3 linked regions of the Callithrix jacchus genome follow. The protein of the gene in region 1 interacts with the protein of each later gene in a biochemical or structural test. Links are inferred from orthologs where the notes say so. Each region holds a gene or a part of one and is shown on either strand. Other genes may lie near its edges.

Region 1 (6,274 bases):
ACATGAGTGTTAGTAATAACATTAGGGACCTTTATGGGAAAATATCAGGCTACATGAATGATCTAAACATAAAGGAAAAAAGCTTGAAGCTGATAGTTTTAAAAATTAATTTAATAGAAACAGGTCTACCAGTTTTAGTCAAGAGCAGATTAGCAGGACAAAGTGGGAAGTGGGAAGAAATGAATCTACAGTGAGCTAAAAATAAATTATAAATGTTACCTTTTATCAATTTGATCATTTGTTTACATCAAACTTCCTATGCCCCAGACACATATGTATTATAAATGTATTTTTGAAGCTCAGATCCTTAATTTAAATAGAATTACGGAAGTCTCTGGAGTTTCTGGCTTAATTTAAGTGAGATTAACATGCAGAAATCTCTTGTATAATCTAAGGTTTTCCCCTTCTGATTTACATGGGGTTAGCAAAGAAACAAACTGGTGAAGGTGAATAAGCATCTTATTAATAAGAGACTTTGGACCCAGGTCTACTCAGATTTATATTCATGACATGTGTGATACATTCTGACAGTGAGGGAGGAAATAAAAAATGTTCTTTGCAGTTCAGGTCAGCATGCCCTTTTCACTAAGCATAGTTCTATTTACTCAATATTTAGTTGGAGAGAAACCGATACCTCAACTGTGTTTAACCTTTTTTGGCTTCAATGGTTTCAGAAACATCTATTTTCTCATTAGTATCTTGGCATTACCAAGCATTTTTTAAATGAATGCATATAGAATACAGAGCATTTGTGCTTTGTTTGGAGAGGAAAAAAGCAGATCACATTAATGATACATAAAATGACACCCAAAGAATTTCCAGAATAGAAATAAAAACCAAACTCCCAGAAAAGGAAGGAACAAGCTTTACAGCCTTATTCTCTCAAATATTGTTTGGTAGACATCTATGGAAGAAAGTTTAAAAACATGCATGCCTTATATAATTTAATCCTATAACTAGCATAGGAAATGATTTAAATTCATCAGAATTTAGCTCTGATGAAATTATGTAAAACCAACGAAATACTTTGCCTAACAGAGAGTTTTACCTTTCTTTGGGGGTTTTAACACCTAAGAAGAGGATCATTTGGCAGGAAAATCAAGGAAAGCTTTGTACTTTTATTCTTGTCATCTCATTAGCTTAACAGAGACTGTAGAGATAAGGTCTACTTTATCTAGACTCCTGGCTAAATACTAATACATACCTTGAAAATTGCTGATAGTGTTTTTATGCTAGACAAGATAGTACTAAGATAAACTAGTATCTATTGCTGAACAGCCATTACCGTCAGTCACTTTGCATTAGTTTTTTTCCTATCCCCCACCAGGACAAATGTAGCACAAGAAAGTTGCTTTTAATTCCTTTTTTCTCCTTTGTGCTAGTGTAAGCATTGTAACCAAATTTTTTCTCCCATGTCACTCCTAATACAAAATGATAACTTATATTGTAGTCACCTCATCTATACACATCAGAGGAAAACAGTTATCTTTTGTTTTATAGTATATTACATTTAGTTAGGAATATCAACAAAGAAACTGATAAAGCCTTACCAACTGTTTCTTTTACTAGCTTTATTTTTCAGATTATGATTAAAACAAAATTTTTCAAACTTTTGCTCATATTTGCACAAAATTTATATCTCAACTTCTAATTATGGATATAGTGACATCTTTCACTGTAAATTTCCAGGTTGGATGATTGATGCTGACAGTAGACCTAAATTTAAGGAACTGGCTGCTGAATTTTCAAGGATGGCTCGAGACCCTCAAAGATACCTAGTTATTCAGGTTAGTACATTTGACTTATGCCTTTAAGACTAGGCTGATGGCAAACTCACTGCAAAATATGAATAATATCAGGACTTTGGAACTGTGGAAATGGCCACTGTCATACTGTTTAATTAAGCAGATTATCAAGTGAAATGACTTATGAAAAAGAGTTTTACTTCATGTCAGATCCACCTTCCCTTAGTATTCAGGTGACTCTGATATTGAACAGATAATTATGATTATACATATACATAAAAAGGTCTAAATCCTGAGACACTGATTTTAGACTTTGATTTTATTAAGTGTAAGTCATGTTCATTAGCATAATTTTCATTTTTCAGAACAAAAGACAGATTTGTTTTAATGTTGCCCATGCTTGAAGACAATGAATCAAAAGATTCAGTATATTAATATTTAATTTCACCAAAAATATTTTTAAATGTTTTGCTTTATTTGGAGAGAGATGCAGTATCCAAGCAATAACTCAATTCAAATGAATTGATGCATATCCACCATCCAAAGGAATATTTTACATTTAACACTAGAAAAACAGACAGGACAACTTAAAAATAATATGGTTCTCTGACTATTTTCACCTAAACTATAAACAAATGAGCCTTGGACTAGAGTGAATTATGTTTCCTAAGTAAAACAAGGTAGCCTTTATTTTCATATCAATAGTCTGACATAAAGATAAAAGCTCGGTTTTAGAAGATACTTATTTCCATTTATTTTTCCCCAAAATTAGTTTTCATAAATTGAAATTGTTATAGGAAAAATACTTAATAGATGAGGTGAGAAAGAGCATAACAAGGGTTATGCTCTTGGTGTCTGCCTCATGCACCTTTACTCTATTTGACACTTGCACTGTGAGTTTTGAATGCCACTACTTTAATAATGTAGCCAGTATGCTATAGAATAAAGTATAGACCCTATAGGCCTAATAATCCTACAGCATCAAACCAACCAAATAAAATAAAGGTTGATAAGTTAATCGCCTTTTATTGTTTAAAGTTGCAACCCACATATGATCTGAGCAATGAACAATTATTTTCAGACCTGAAATTGACTTTACCGCCCTAAAAACAACTTTTGAATTTTGCTTTCTTTTGTTTAACAGTATTTATCATAATATTCTAGTATAAAATTTGTTTATCTGACCCTGTCATATCTAAGCATGTTATAGGTTTCTTAATGGCTAGTGCTGTGCTAAAGACTTGTTTTTTTAAAATGTGTGAATGAATTTTTCAACGGTTTGTTTTGATATTACATAAATTAATTGCAGAGACCACATATTTAAGATAAAAAACAAAAAAGTCATATTTGTGTCTGATGGGTAATCTTTTAGGGTGATGATCGAATGAAGCTTCCCAGTCCAAATGACAGCAAGTTCTTTCAGAATCTCTTGGATGAAGAAGATTTGGAAGATATGATGGATGCTGAGGAGTACTTGGTCCCTCAGGCTTTCAACATCCCACCTCCCATTTATACTTCCAGAGCAAGAATTGACTCAAATAGGGTAAGAAGGAAGTATATACACATATTATATTACTTCTGAGATATAAAATCATGTAAATAGATTATAAGCACTAACATTTTGAATAATTATATAGCTCAAATCAGTGTGATGCCTAGATTAAAAATATACCATACCTAGAAAAAAATGTGCCAATCTTTCTATATAGAATTTTGGAAGACAGGCTTGGACAGTGCAACATGTATATTGAAATACCTTCAAGATTACCAAAGAAAAAACATTTTCCTCATCTTAATTTAAAAACAAATCAAATTTGAAAAACAATTCCAACTAATACAACCATATGTGTATATAAATAAATGAAAATTCCTACCAAGTAGGCTTTCTACTTTTCCTTCTTAAGAATACAAGTATAAATCTCTGTCAAGTTGAAGTAGAAACACAGAAAACCATGCAGTCCTTTGAACTTAATCATATCGAAAAGGCTGCTGAATCATTTCTAAAAAGTAGATTTAAGTTTTGAAAGAGGCTTCTGTAAAGAATTTCTATTTCATTTTAAATGTTAAACCTACTCTACATGAAATCCATTGTTTCTTTGAAAGCTGTCAAATCCATGCATTTTTTACTTTTATAAATTTATTCATCATTCATTCAACATATATTGAGTACCACTGTGTGTGAAGCATTAGTATACATTTAAGAGTGAAGGAATTTTGGTACAACTGCTTTCAAGAAGTGTCTACCTTAATGAAAAAAATGACACAGATATAGGGACAGCATAAGTGCTGTAATCCAGTATTCACTGACCATTACAGAGCATGAATTTGTAAATTTGTGTCTGTAATCAATTTCTTTCATTGCTAAGATATAAATATGATGCTTAACTTTTTGTAGAAGATAATTCTTTTCCTTGTCTCCTTCTTTAAGAACATTATCACAGCTAGTAGAACAGACAGCATCCAATTTCTCTTGACCATAGCCATAAGAACATTTTCAACTTACTTACTGCTCATTATCTAAAATAATTTGCTTTATTTCATATTGACAGTAATAAGTAATATTCCCCTGGTGTTTACTATTCAACACATATATGTTAACCTCCTAATCCTTAAACAAACTTCACAAGGTTCTATTATTATTATCATCCCTTCTTTCAGATGAACAAACTTGCCACAGAGTAGTCAGGTGAAATGACTGGTGTCACACAGCTAGTCAGTGGAAGACAGGAATAACGTAAGCTAGAGATCTGCCTACTACACTGTAGTTTTGCTTCAGAGTTATGAAGCATGTTATTTCCATGATGAAATTAGATTTCCACGATGTAATTAGATTTCCACGATGTGATTGGAGTCTGGGATTTGTCTTGTTTGGGAAATTCCCAGGTGGTTTTCTTATAAAATGCATCTGAAACCTGCCTTGCACCTTTTGCCCATCTACCTCCACTTAGAAGATCTGATACGGAAAAAGACAAAGATGGAGACCTCAATTAATTTTTCTATTAAAAAAATTATTGTAGCCCAAAATGAAAATTTTGTCACATGCCCAATGGAGAGTAGATAACTAAAAGTTTTAAAAATAAGATCAAGGGATAGGTAATGAAGAATAACCAGTCTTTTAAGAGGGAAGAAAGCTCTTAAGGTATGTAAAGGAGGCCCTTTGTCTTCCCTTCTGTACACTATGCAAAATTACCAAATTATATCCCCTCATATTTATAATTTTAAGTGGTAAATTCATTACTTCTGGCTACAACAGTGAAATTTCAAAAAAAAGTTTATTGAAATGATATAAATCTTTTTATAAGAGTTCTTTTCAACTTTTTGTTCATGTTAATTTATAATTTTCAATTCAAGAAATTCTTAATAAAGATTTGAGCTAACTAGATGGAATTATTGAGACAAAGTAGAAATCACAGGAGGATTTATTTGACCTTTGGTATCATTACTTATTCCACATTATTAGACAAAGTTACCTGTAGATTTTTTATTTTTTCAGTCCTTAGAAAAGAAATTGTGTTTAAATATCATTTTATGTTCAGGCATTTAAAAGGCTTTATTTGTCATGTATATTGTTCTAATGTTTTCCAGTCTGGCTTTATATAACTTTCACAGAAATTTCTAATATGTGCAAATGTCACATTCCTTTCTTTCTAACATGGCTAAATTAGAAAATAAATTACTTTCATTTTAAGTTCTGTGGCTAAATTATGTGCTAACGAAATATCTTAAAAGTGAATTTTGATCAAATGTTTCTTGAGCATACGTGATGGACTTTGAAACCAAAAAAATAATAATGCATTTTGAAAACAGACTCCACTGTGCACTAATTGAGAAACTGTGGATAATGTTCTATGACTTTGTTTACTCATTTTCTAAATGCAATAGTGCCTATCTTATATGAGTAATAAGCAATTAACTTTTTAAAAATTGCAAAGTATTTATAAAGCTAGGTAAAGAAATACATATTACCCTACTTTTAGAGTCACCATTTTCATCTTTTTCCTTGTCAATATCATATATCATAAATAATAACACTTTCTTATAAGGGATTCTACCCACCATCTATGAAAAGCTTGTTAATGCAGTTACTGCTTGGCCAGCAAATTAGGTCTGCTGATATGTTCTAATATCAAATAAAGATAGAAGTAATTTTTATAGTGCTTTTGATTTTGTAAAATTCCACATACATTTTGATAAATTACAACTTGAAAGCAATGAAGCAATTCAAAATACAATGTTCATATTTGTCCAGAAAGTTGATGGATACAAATTTAAGTCATGTTAGAAAACACTTATCTAATTTACAGCTGCTGTTACTATTGTTAGATATAATTTTAATATTATCATCTTTTTTTTGTTTTCTTTTTGAGACAGGATCTTACTCTGTCACCAAGGCTGGAGTGCAGTAGCACGATCTTGGCTCACTGCAACCTCCACATGCCAGGTTCAAGAGATCCTCACATCTCTGCCTCCACAGTAGCTGGGACCACAGGCGTGCACCACGCCACCCAGCTACTTTTTTATATATATAT
Region 2 (6,747 bases), on another chromosome or scaffold:
ATTTTACAGATGGGGAAACTGACCTTTCCAAGATCACACAGCTAGTAAGTGGCAGAGTCAGGATTCCAATCCAAATTTTTTCTAACTTCAGAATCCGCACACTTAACCACTACACTGTATTGCCTCCAGTGACTCTGGGTTGATATCTAAGATAAAATAAGAAGGAAATTTGTACTTCTCAGTGGCAAATTTTAAAAAGATATTAGAAATGGAGGGTATTTTGGCCAGGCATGGTGGCTCCTGCCTGCAATCCCAGTACTTGCAGGCCAGGGTGGGCGGTTCACATGATCAGGTGTTCGAGACTAGCCTGATCAACACAGTGAAACCCTGACTCTACTAAAAAATACAAAAATCAGCCTGGTGTGTTGTTGGATGCCTGTAATCCCAGCTACTCAGGAAGCTGAGGCAGGAGAATCACTTGAGCCCGGGAGGCAGAGGTTGCAGTGATCCGAGATGGCGCCACTGCACTCCAGCCTAGGCAACACTCTATCTCAAAAAATAAATAAACAAAAAGAAACGGAGGTTATTTTTTAGAACATAAACAAGTCTCATATACACAGTCATACGAATATAACTTTTTCTTTCCAAATACATGTAATCATGATGAAAATCCCACACAATCAATTTCTCACAATTTTTCATATGTACTCAATCATGTTTTTTGTTTTTTTTCTTGACAGAGTTTCCCTCTTGTTGCCCAGGCTGGAGTACAATGGTGTGATCTCGGCTCACTACCTCCGCCTCCCTGATTTTAGCGAGTCTCCTGCCTCAGCCTTTCGAGTAGCTAGGATTACTGGTGCCCACCACCACACCCGGCAAACTTTTGGGGGTTTTTTGGTGTTTTAGTAGAGATGGGGTTTCACCATGTTGGCCAGACTGTTCTCAAACTCTGACCTCAGACCTCCCAAAGCACTGGAAATAGTCATGAGCCACCAGACCGGCCCAATCGTGTTTATTATTAAAAATTTAATGGGAACACCCCGTATCTTCCCCTCAATTTTGCTGTGAACCTAAAACGACTCTAAATAAAATAGTGTTTTGGGCTGGGTGCAGTGGCTCATGCCTGTAAATCCCAGCACTTTGGGAGGCCGAAACAGGTGGATCACCTGAAGTCAGAGTTCGAGACCAGCCTGGCCAATACAATAAAACCCCAACTCTACTAAAAATACAAAAATTAGCCAGGCGTGGTGGAGGGAACCTGTAATCCTAGCTACTCAGGAGGCTGAGGCAGGAGAATCACTTGAACCTGGGGGGCAGAGGTTGCAGTGAGCCAAGATCACTGACACTTCACTCCAGCCTGGATGAAAGAGCAAAACTCTGTCTTAAAAAAAAAAAAAACTATTAACACAAGTTTTTTTCAACTACAATATCCTAAATATATCTAATTTAGTTATAAACTGTCATAAGACTAGATTCTTTCAGTATGAAAAGTTACATTCTGTTCTTCATAACCACGGTACTGAGCATGCAGTGAGCATTTAATAAAAACTGAACTTTTTTCAAAAGCAGTGCTGTAGATGGCATTTTTAACCCTCTCAGAACACTCCCAAAGACTCTGCATTACAGACATAAGTTGGAATACCAACTTATGTCTTGGTATTCCAACTTATCACTTGAGGTCAGGTGTTCAAGACCAGTATGGCCAACATGACAAAACCTCGTCTCTACTAAAAATACAAAAATTCTCCAGGCATGGGGCACGTTCCTGTAATCCCAGCCACTCGGGAGGCTGAGGCAGGAGAATCGCTTGAACCTGGGATGCAGAGGTTGCAGTGAGCCGTGATGGCACCACGCACTCCAGCCTGGGCAACAGAGCAAGACTCCGTCTCAGAGGAGAGAAAAGAAAAAGAAACAAAACCTCTGAATTGTCCAGCGTGACTGTCAACATATGAACCAAATCTTTTGTCCTGATATGCACCAAGGTTGTTAAAATTCTAAGGGTCAATTAAGAGTTACATTCGAAATCTATAAAACAAGTTTTGCCTGATACCACTTCCCATCTCAACATTCTCATCAAGGTTCACCTTTACAAATAAACACCTAAGTTCAATTAAGAGAACAAGTGAGGAGGAGGTATTAACTAACATGAAAAACAGTCACTGTCCTGTATATTCTGCAGACTGTAGAACTTAATTTTCAAATAGAATACTATTCTGGCCACCAACAAAAATGCTTAAGGGAAGATTTATTAATTTTGTTTTACCTCACTGTTGTACTTCTAATGTCTCAACTATAAAAGCAGTGCATTAATAAGTGGGAAGCTATGGAAGAAGATACAGACATTGTTGGAGTATAGGCTCTTAATCACACCTATAATTCACACTACTGCTTTCCTTTCTCTCTGACCCAAGTTCTCATTAAATGACTCTAAGACTTTTCTGCATCACTGTTTTCTATAATCTGAAGCTGAGATGTGCACTGAAATAAAAACATTCTAACCAATATATTTCTCAAATTATTAATATAGTACTTGTTTAAATATTGGTATTCAAAGCTTCCCACTCATCATCTAGCTTTATCAAGGAACACACACAGGTTATACACTATGACTGCCTTGGTAGCTGCAGCTTGACTGAATCCTGGGACATCACCTCAACTTGGAAGGGACAGAACCATATCTGGTTCTCACTGGATACACATTTTCTCATGCTTTCCAGCTTAAAGACTTTACATCTTCCCAGAGGAACAATAAATGTAGGAAGACACCAGGTAGTATGCCTGTAAGGAGGATGAGTGATCAAATTAAATTCCTACTTCAAGAAATCTGAAACTTCAAAAACTTTTCCTAACAAATCACAGCTGAAAAGATTAAAAAAAAAAGGATGATTTACCCCTTCATTCTCTCTTTCCTGGAGACAGCTTCACACATTCTGAAGAGCAGTCTTAACTTAACTGAAGAGCAGTCTTAACTTACTGAAGAGCAGTCTCAACTTACTGAAGAGCAGTCTCAACTTACTGGTTAGTTGGAGGAGCGGTCAACGGTATGGCCACCTCTTCCTCCTCGTATTCTGGTCCATCCAGAGAGTCACCTTCGTCCACTGTCCCCAGACCCGCCCCCAAAGGGGGCAGGTGAGGGGGAGGAGGCAGAGGGGGAAATACACCTCCTGGTCCGAGAGTCTCAGCAGGCAACGAAGTGAGCAGCTTGGTGAGAGACATGTCTCCACTAGGTCCAGCAGCAGCAGCAGCAGCAGCAGCAGCAGCACCGGCCACGCCAGCAGCAGCACCAGCCACGCCAGCAGCAGTACCTCCGCCTGTCAGTCCGGCTCCCCCCAATGCCCCTGCCACAGACCCGGTTCCTAGGAACCCTGACCCCAAAGCGGCTCCGCCACCCAGAGTCCCAGCCACTCCGGTCTCCACCAGCCCAGGATAGGGGGCGGCTGCCACTGGCAGGGCCGCGGGTATCCTCACCCGACACACTGCGGGATAGGCACTGGAGCCCGCAGCCGCGCCGCCTCCCCCTGCTCCGGCAGTTACCGGGCCGCCTTCCTCACTGCCGGCCTCGGCCGCCATCATGTTGAAGCCCGCTCTACTCTGCCCTACACTGCCCGCCCGGGAGCCCCGGGGGCCACCAGGCCCGGGTTCCGAGCCGCCCCACCCAGGCGCGTCTCCCCTTCAGCTCCCCAGGCGGAGGAAACAACAACAAAAGGAGAGAGCCGGCCGCCGCGCCCCCTCCCAGGGCCACAGCCCAGGCTCCGGAGCTGCCTGGGTTACGGGAAGCGAAGTGGGCAAAAAACCCAACGCCTGCACAAACGCCACCCAAACCTCACTGCACACACCCACACTCACGCACACACACACGTACAGAAGCGAAAACTTCCTGACTGCACTAAAGAAGATAGGAAGCACAGGGAAAGAGGCTGAGGCGGCTATCGCTCCTTTAGACACCACCACCGCTTCTTCACCACCCCAGTTCCGGCCACCCACACCGCAGCCACCGCCGGTGCCGCTGTATACGCTGGGACCACTGCAGCCCCTTCATCCTCCACCAGGCAGATGGTGGGGAGGGACAAGAGAAAGAGGGGCTGGGTAATGAGGAAATCTACTGAACTGCTCACTACCTGGAGCTCTCAGTGAGTGAAACCGGAGAGAGAGAAAGGAAGGCGGGGCAGGGGAGGAGGGACGGAGGGAAGGAAGGGCGGAGGAGGGAGAAGGGCAGCTTGTGCGCAGGCGCGTTCCCGGAGCGGTGGCGGGGGGCCGGACCTGGAGGAAAAGGAAGAGTCCAGAGGGAAGGAAGCGGCGGGGACGCGCGGTGCGTGGTCGCGCATGATGTCCTGCTCCGGTTCGAAGCGTGTGTCGGCTCGGCTGCATCATCTGTCGGCGTGGCTGGCGACGCGCGCCTGTCTCCCGGGGCTTTGTTTGATGAGCAGGAGAAGAGGGAAGGGGTACCTGAGCTCGCGGGCGCTCAGCACTGTTAAAGCCTGAGAAACGAGAAGGGGACCGGGAGGTGGTGGAGAGGAAACGGGGGAAAGGGAAAGGAAAATGCCCAGAAACTACCGGAGGAAGAAACAGCCTTAGCCAGCAGCGCAGAAACCAGGCAAGGGTCAGGTAGCTTTGAAGATCAGGGCAGTACTATTTATGTTTTCTTTTTAGTTTCATGCTATAAATCACCGTGACTATCACACACGCACAAATAAAATAGATTCTGAAACTCAAAACGAAATAAAAGGCACCATATGAGAAGGATGGAGAATTTTGGTAGAAATGGTGGTTATGAAGTCAGATTTCTATGTATAGGCGCACGCTTTTCTTTACCAACTGTCTCATATACTTAACCTTTGCCGTTTCAAGTATGTTGGATACTAATGAACCGGGGTGGGGGGTGGGGGTGCCACAGAAAACACTCATCAATGCACCTTTGTCCTCGTCGTAATCCACAGTGCAAGCACCTTCAACAAGTCAAATGTCAAAAATGTCCCAGTTATGATTATATATCGTTTCAAAAAGTATCAATAAATTGAAAACTCATATTTAATACAATTACGGAGAAGGGTTTTGTCTTTTATACTAAAATATATACAAACTATTATATGCTTCATATAGAGGGAGCTTCCCATGGTTTGAAATTAACCGTATTGTTATTTTTAATTCTCCCACGAGTGATCCCAACCACATTGACTACCACTTAATATTGATCTTCGAGATCAATGTTTTCTCTGCTAAGGATGATTAAACCAACACTAGGGATGGCAAGTGGCTTTGATAGAAACCCAGGAAAAAGAGAAAAGACCACTAAAAGAGGTGACAAGATGCAGGCAATGGATCTTCTTTGTAAGCTTGCCTATTTACCTAGTCAATGACAACAATCTACCTTGATTAAGGAATAGTCCTGGGGCCACCATTGTGCTTATCTCTTAGGCAGTGTACCACCTGGCAGGAGGAAGATGGACCACTCACAGGAAATAGAGTTCTCAGAGTGAACTGAGGTCAGCAACATCCTAGGAATTCAGAAATGCCACCTCAGACCCGCTAAATCATAAACTGCAGCAATTCCATTTTAACAAGCCCTCCAAGTGATCTTTTGCACACTAAAGTTTGAGAACCACTATATTAATGTATAGTATACTAATCAAGAAGGAGTTATACAATACCTAAAAAACAGAAATAATAGATGTCATTCATTAGGTAGGTGGGTAAGATATGTGGGTTTTGAGTTGCTAAGCCCTGTGCTGTTCTAGAAATGAGAATGAAATAGTCCCGTAATACTTAATAATGAAGTACTACTTACGGTGGCTTCCCTGAGAACAGTTTTCTTTTCTTTTAAATTTAGACCCTCAGTTAGCCAAGACTATCAAAATTCCTACTCTACTTACTGCCTGCTGTGTAAACCCCAAGTGCAACATTCCCAACAAATCTTCACATAGCCTGTGCTTGAAAACCTGCAGTGTGTTAACATCCCAATCCTCCAGCATTCCTGCCCCAATCATCGCTGTCAGTCCTTGAATGCAAGACATTGGACTGCCAGGTTATCACCAGCTCTTGGTTATCACTGATCTCTACACGTTCACACATGATCTGTATGTTGCCTGGGAGTCCAGGTGAGGCTCACTACTCTTACTGCAGGATTACCTCCTCCTTTTTTGACAATTCTTTAGCACTTTTAAAGGTCAATATTTAATGCAGTCTAAAATCTATCAAACACTCAGTTAGATAGTTTTCTAGACTTTTAGGTGTATGGAGGACCTACAAAACTGTACTGCAGATACAAACTGTGTTCTATTTTACTGCCTAACCCTGTGCTAGGCAACCTCAGTATGCTACTTTGAACAGATCTTCATCCTTTTAACAAATACCAAATTTGATCAGCTCCCTTCCATGGAAATCAATTTCTTAACCAGTAGGAAAGACTTACTATGTCTATTTGTAAATCAACCTTTATGTTTAGCTTTAGAGTTAGCACTGTTCTTTTCATCCAAAGAAATTGCCACATATTTTTATGAGGTATATTCAAATATTTAATATCTATTATTGGATAGACGTAGGCTCTAATCTTTACTATTGCTTGCGTACTTTCTGAATCTCAAGTTGTTTATCTTTAATTTCTTTTCATTTTTTTCCAAAAGGACTTAATGTTTCTACTTCCTTTATTCCTCCCTAAGTTGCTAGGAAGGAATTTTGTGTATCCTTTTTATTTTCTTCTAAACCTCTGAATTTTCTGACATAAATATAGTTCTTGAAGTTTCATGAGTTAAAAACTAAAGAACAAGTTTAAAAAAACTATGAAATATCTATTTGAAATAAAGCATTACA
Region 3 (6,274 bases), on another chromosome or scaffold:
GCACAATCTCAGCACACTGCAGCCTCCGCCTTCTGGGTTCAAATTATTCTTGTGCCTCAGCCTCCCGAGTAGCTGGGATTACAGGCATGTGCCACCATACCTGGCTAATTGTTGTATTTTTAGTAGAGACGGGGTTTCAACATGTTGGCCAGGCTGGTCTCGAACTCCTGACCTTAGGTGATCCACCCACCTTGGCCCAAAGTGCTAGCATTACAGGCAAGAGCCACTGTGCCTGGCCATGTTGTCTGTTTTAATTAACTCTGCCCAACTGTCCTCCCAAATGGTTGCCCTAGTGTTTACTCCCACATACAGTACCTGCCTAGGACCCATGGCTCCATACTCTTCAAGACACTTTAGATTAAAAAATAAGTTGTAACATCCCACATCTACAGAAAAGCAGACAGATCTTATTGAGTGACAGCCCTCTGTGTTATCTCAAAGTGAGTTCACCCTTGTGGGTTTTTTTTTTAATATAGAAAAGTTCTGTGTTTTTATTTGTGTTCTAGTGAAAGTTCTTTTTTAGATATCCTTTAATTGGTTTATATAAGATTTTGTGTGGAATGTAGCCGTGATACCTATAAATTAAACCTAAGACAGATGGAGAACTTTGGAGTTTAGCCCTCCTAATGTAATTTTCATGTTGGATGTGAAGGGCAGTGTGATTTTCATAAGACTTTCATTGTACGCTTCTGAATACCTTTGGGACCAGATCTGGTCATCGTGAAACCAAGCTTTCCTCTAGCAGCTGCCTGCAGTAACACTAGGTATTCTTGAATTAATGGACCAATGGAAACATCTTTGTAGTTTCTGCTTCAGGCAAATGTTTTTTGCCCTAAATGTGGTTAGGAAAAATGAAGCCCTTCATCCCGCTTTTTGCCTGATTGTAGCTGTAGGAGGTCACCTGTTCTCAGAGGATGTGAGGACTGTGAAGAGAGGGGTCTTGTGTTGCTTCAGAGGAATCAGTATCAGTCCCTTTCAGAAGCTCTCCTAGGATAGACAGGTATTAGGGTGAAATCACCCTGCCCCACTCCTTACCACCGTGTCTAAGTCTCTGCTCCCTCTCTCCTTCTTCCTTTTTACTTTGGTGGTACTGAGAGGATGACATGATGGGTGCTGATTACTCTCTACAGGCCTTTCTGACAACCTGCTCTCAGTATCCCCCCAGTGCACAGAAGACAAACCAGACTGTGGACTGTGTTTGATTCCTGGGCCCTATTTTAAAGGCCTTATTTTAATGTGTTAGTTCTCATATTTTAGAATTTGTTTGCCAAGGTTTCCAAAGGAGTTTAGAAGCTGGAGACAGGGCTGCAGCAGTTTGCTGATGTTTAAAGTTAGCTAAAACATTCTTTTCAGAGTCATGATTTAATTTTATATCCTGTGACGAGTTCCCTGTAGTGACTGGGAGCAGTCCTCAGCCTTGATTGGTCAGTGACAGCATAGAGTACAATTAATATTAGGAATGTTTATTTGGGGAAACTAAAATTTACATCAAATCTGTCAGAGGCGTTTGGATCCATAAAATACTGGAGAGAAAGCCAAAAGACCACATTCTTCTTCTTCTTCTTTTTCTTCTTTTGAGACCATATCTTGCTCTGTTACCCAGCCTGCAGTGCAGTGGCACAGTCTTGGCTCACTGCAGCATCTGCCTCCCAGATTCAAGCGATTCTCCTGCCTCAGCCTCCTGAGTAGCTGGGATTACAGGTGTGTGTCACCACACCTGGCTAATTTTTGTAATTTTAAAAGAGACAGAGTTTTACCATGTTGGTCAGGCTGGTCTCATACTCTTGACCTCAAGTGATCCACCCAGCCTCCCAAAGTGCTGGGATTGCAGCCAGCCACCAAGTGGCTCCCATGTGCTACTGTGCCCGGCTAAGACCACATCCTTCTATTAAATGTTCCTCCTACCATGTTTTCTTTTTTCTTTCAACTAATCATCTACTGTGACTGTTCATGTCTGTAGCTGCTTTCTTATTTCCAGTTTTATAGCTGTAAATTTCTCTGTCTTCCTAAGATACAAGGTAAATTTCTCTTGCTGATATTTGTGTCATGGTGGTTTTGGAAAGTAAGTGGTGTGGATGACTGCCCAGAATTCAACAGAACATAAAAGCATTCTCTGCCTAGGACACATCACCAAATAGATACAAACTCATCTCCTATTGAGTGAAATAGCTTCCTTTTTGGCAGCAAGAATAATTTTCTTGGTGCCATATATTTCAATCACCTGCTCTTAAAGCCAGCAGCTATTGCAGACTTGGCATTCCCAGGACCCAGTTAAGGGAAAGTGACGTGTAGAGGAGGTATCAGATGGGTCTGGATATAGAAAAAGCAGCTGGTTCAAAACCCTATGGGCTGCCTTTCTGTGATATAGTTATTCACACTTGGGTTAGATAAGGCACAGAGTCCTCCTACACTGGTGCGGAAATGAAGCAGACAGTCTGGCTCGTTGGGCAGCTTAGACTCCTCCAGACTCTATGCTTGCCTTCCCTAGGGAGTGACTGGCAGATCTTAGAATTCAGACCTCAGTGGTTGCTAGCCAGTACTCTCACATTGGTTGGTCTTTCTCTCTGCATCTTTGATTCCTTAGAGATAAATAAACAAGCATTGACTCTCCTTTGACATGTGCTTGGATCAGACAACTGCACAAGCTGCTTTTCTCCTCCCACTTCTGCTTAGTCCTCCGAGCACCTGCATCTGCTTTTGTTAGAACTTTTTTTTTTTTTTTTGAGAGGGAATCTCTCTCTGTTGCCCGGGCTGGAGTGCAGTGGCATGATCTCAGCTCATTGCAACCTCTGCCTCCCAGGTTCAAATGATTCTCCTGCCTTAGCCTCCCAAGTATCTGTGATTACAGGCACCGGCTACTATGCCTGACTAATTTTTGTATATATATATATTTTTGAGATGAAGTTTCGCTCTTGTTGCCCAGGCTGGAGTGCAATGGCATGGGCTCAGCTCACTGCAACCTCTGCCTCCCTGATTCAAGCGATTCTCCTGCCTCAGCCTCCCAAGTAGCTGAAATTATAGGCATGCACCACAATGCCCAGCTAATTTTTGTATTATTAGTAAAGACGGTGTTTCACCATGTTGACCAGGCTGTTCTCGAACTCCTGACCTCAGGTGATCTACCTGCCTCAGCCTCCCAAAGTGCTGGGATTATAGGCATGAGCTACCATGCCTGGCCTAATTTTTGTATTTTTAGTAGAGACGGGGTTTCACCATGTTGGCTAGGCTGGCCTCGAACTACTGATCTCAAATGATCTGCCCATTTTGGCCTTCCAAAGTGCTGGGATTACAGGTGAGCCACCATGCCCAGCCTGATTCTTTACAGATCAACAAGCATTGACTCTCCTCTGACACGTGCTTGGATCAGGTAACTGCACCAGCCTCCTTTCTCCTCCCACTTCTGCCCGGTCCTCCAAGCACCTGCTTTTCTTATTTGAACTCTCCTTTTCTTCGAAAACCTAACAGATGCTAGACAGGCCGTTTTCCACATTGGTGGTCATTAAGCAAGACCTGCACATTTGTTTGTTGCTGGTTTAGGTTTTGATTTCAGAGTTCACAGAATTAACTTTCTTTTTCTCTGATCCCTTCCAGAGTAAGTGTGTCAAATACTGGCCTGATGAGTATGCTCTCAAAGAATATGGGGTCATGCGTGTTAGGAACGTCAAAGAAAGTGCTGCTCATGACTATACGCTACGAGAACTAAAACTTTCAAAGGTTGGACAAGTAAGTATATTGTCGTATTCTAGAGACTTTGGGAAGTGCTGATGGTATGTAGTAATTCAGGGTCTTGCAGTTACTCATGTTTGCATACATTCGTGCTTTCGCTCACTCATTGATTCAGTAGCCATTTATTGGGTTCCTTCTATGTGCCAGGTACAGTTTAGGCAGTACTGTTACACTGTGAACAAGGCAGGTGGTGTTCCTGCCCTTATCGAGCCTAGAGAGATGGAAGATTTAAAAACAAGTAACTGGCCAGGCGCTGAGGCTTATGCTTGTAATCCCAGCACTTTGGGAGGCTTGAGCCTTCCAGGTGGATCGCTTGAGCCCAGGAGTTCAAGACCAGCCCTGGGTGGGAGATTGGAATGGGGTGACCTGAGTGGTTGCAAGGCCTGTTAGGAGGCCTCTGCAGGAGCCAAGGTTGATGGCCTCCTCTCCAAGTATCCACAGACTTCAGCAGTTGTTCTTTTTTGTTCCTTCCTTTGGAAAGGAATATTATGTAAAATGGCAGAATAAACTGGAAGAGAAGCAGTGGATGTGAGAAGTGCTGGGGGTGAAGTCTGCAGGGCGTGAGGATTGTTTGGCCTTTGGAGGAGGAAGAGGGATTCAAGACACAATGTAGAGGTTTGAGTCTGAGTGGACAGTGGTGCTGTGGCAGACACCACAAAAGCTGGAGGGAGAACTGATGTGGGCAGTGATTTGTTTTCTTCTGGACGTGTTCAGCTGGGCATCTGAACAGTCATGTGGACATTCATCTATTCATTCAGAGATGTTTGTTTAATGACCTCTTGGTTCCTGACACCATGCTGCTTGCTGGAGATAGAGCTGGGGAACAAAACAGATGGAGTCCCTGCACTCCCAAGTGTACCCTGTACTGGCCAGTAATCTACCAGCCCAGTAATCGCACATATAAATATATCATTACAAACCGTAATCAAGGCTAGAAAGAAAAAATGCAGGAGTTTAGGGTTCATTTAGAGGGGGAAAGGACTTTTTTTAAACAGAACCTTGCTCTGTCACTCAGACTAGAATGTGCTGGTGCAGTCACGGCTCACTGCAGCCTCAACTTCCTAAGCTGAAGTGATCCTCTCGCCCCAGCCTCCCATGTAGCTGGCGACTACAGCTTGTGCCACCATGCCCACCCAAGTTTCAAATTTTTTGTAGAGATGGGTGTCTCATTATATTGTCCAGGCAGGTCTTGAACTCCTGGGGGTAAGTGATTCTCCTACCACAAGTAGCCTCCCAAAGTGCTGGGATTATAGGCATGAGTCAGTGCACCTGGCCAAAGGAAAGGAGGTTTTTTTTTTTTTTTTTTTTTGAGATGGAATTTCGCTCTGTCACTCAGGCTGGAGTACAGTGGCATGATCTTGTCTTTCTGCAACCTCTGCCTCCCGAGTTCCAGTGATTATCCTGCCTCAGCATCCTGAGTAGCTGGGATTACAGGCGTGTGTCACCATGCCTAGCTTATTTTTGTATATTTAGTAAGGATGGGGTTTCACCATGTTGGTCATGCTGGTCTCGAACTCCTGACCTTGTGATCTGCCTGCCTCGGCCTCCCAAAGTGCTGGGATTACAGGCATGAACCACTGCGCCCAGTGCGCCCAGCTGGAAGGGAGGTTCTTAAGGCATAGGAAACAATGTATTTGAGTTGGCAAAGGAGGTTGGGGGAGGTTATCCTAAGTATAGTAAGCAGCCATAGTTGGATTTAAGCTTTTAAGAGATTCCCCTCCACCCTGTAGAGACTGGAGCGAGGAAAAGTGGGTCTAGGGATAGGACTGATTAGGAGGTACTGCAGTTGTCAGAGTGAAAGATGATAGGGCTTGAACTAGGCCAGTGGCAGGGGTGCCAGAAAGAAGAGGACCCAGTAGAGCTAACTGGAGGCAGTTAGCCTGGCAGGGATTTAATGATGGAGTGTACCAAGGGCGAGGCTGGCATGCAGGATGACTGGTGGTTTTCTAGCCTGAGAAGGCAGGGTGAAGGGCAGTGGACTTGAGGAAGCTGGAAGGATCAGCAGGGACCTCTTTGTGGACACACTAAGTTTGAGATGCCTTGGACACATTGAAATGGAGCTGTCAGGGAGGCAAGGGTGGAGGTGGGATGAGGAGGAGAGGTGGGACGCGTTGTGGATGGAGTTTTTGCTTGATGGAGGCACATTTTTTCCTGTGGCAATGAAGGGCAAGAGGAGAAGGTGGCCACAGATGCCAGTAGGTGAGCTAAGAGCGATTATTTTCCCTATCCTCTCCGAAGCTTGAGGCAAGGCCATCAACAGACAGTCAAAGGGAATAAGAAGAGATATTTGAATATTTGAAGAAAGGGAGAAAAGAATGAAATCATAATTGTGTAGCAGAGCAAGAAGTCCAGAAATTTTTGTGCTGTGCCAAGTGCCCAGCTGAGGTGGTGAACATGAAAATATACTGATATCCACCACCTGGTTTTTCTCCAAGGACACTTGGCTCCTAGGGCACAAAACAGAGAGTATGTGGTTCGCCCAGGCCTGGGATTTGCATAGGTGCAGTGGATGGAGAGGTCAGGAAGTGGAGGCACACGGTAGAAAGTG

Evidence for each region.
Region 2: the proteins of ERBB4 (region 1) and RASA1 form a complex in vitro, tested with the Homo sapiens proteins (2 studies listed by BioGRID and IntAct, with this or other methods). The link is inferred for Callithrix jacchus from reciprocal best matches to the Homo sapiens genes ERBB4 and RASA1.
Region 3: the proteins of ERBB4 (region 1) and PTPN11 form a complex in vitro, tested with the Homo sapiens proteins (2 studies listed by BioGRID, with this or other methods). The link is inferred for Callithrix jacchus from reciprocal best matches to the Homo sapiens genes ERBB4 and PTPN11.

What each region holds. Positions count from the first base shown.
Region 1 is NC_133507.1:133,070,880-133,077,153, reverse strand, and holds part of ERBB4 (receptor tyrosine-protein kinase erbB-4), read left to right. Parts: intron 1-1,689; coding exon 1,690-1,787; intron 1,788-3,117; coding exon 3,118-3,288; intron 3,289-6,274. UniProt on the Homo sapiens protein: Tyrosine-protein kinase that plays an essential role as cell surface receptor for neuregulins and EGF family members and regulates development of the heart, the central nervous system and the mammary gland, gene transcription, cell proliferation, differentiation, migration and apoptosis.
Region 2 is NC_133503.1:123,600,806-123,607,552, forward strand, and holds the start of RASA1 (ras GTPase-activating protein 1), read right to left. Parts: upstream 4,103-6,747; 5' UTR 3,514-4,102; coding exon 2,957-3,513; exon of another isoform or gene 2,870-2,956; coding exon of another isoform or gene 2,832-2,869; intron 1-2,831. UniProt on the Homo sapiens protein: Inhibitory regulator of the Ras-cyclic AMP pathway. Stimulates the GTPase of normal but not oncogenic Ras p21; this stimulation may be further increased in the presence of NCK1.
Region 3 is NC_133510.1:115,437,895-115,444,168, forward strand, and holds part of PTPN11 (tyrosine-protein phosphatase non-receptor type 11), read left to right. Parts: intron 1-3,591; coding exon 3,592-3,723; intron 3,724-6,274. UniProt on the Homo sapiens protein: Acts downstream of various receptor and cytoplasmic protein tyrosine kinases to participate in the signal transduction from the cell surface to the nucleus. Positively regulates MAPK signal transduction pathway. Dephosphorylates GAB1, ARHGAP35 and EGFR.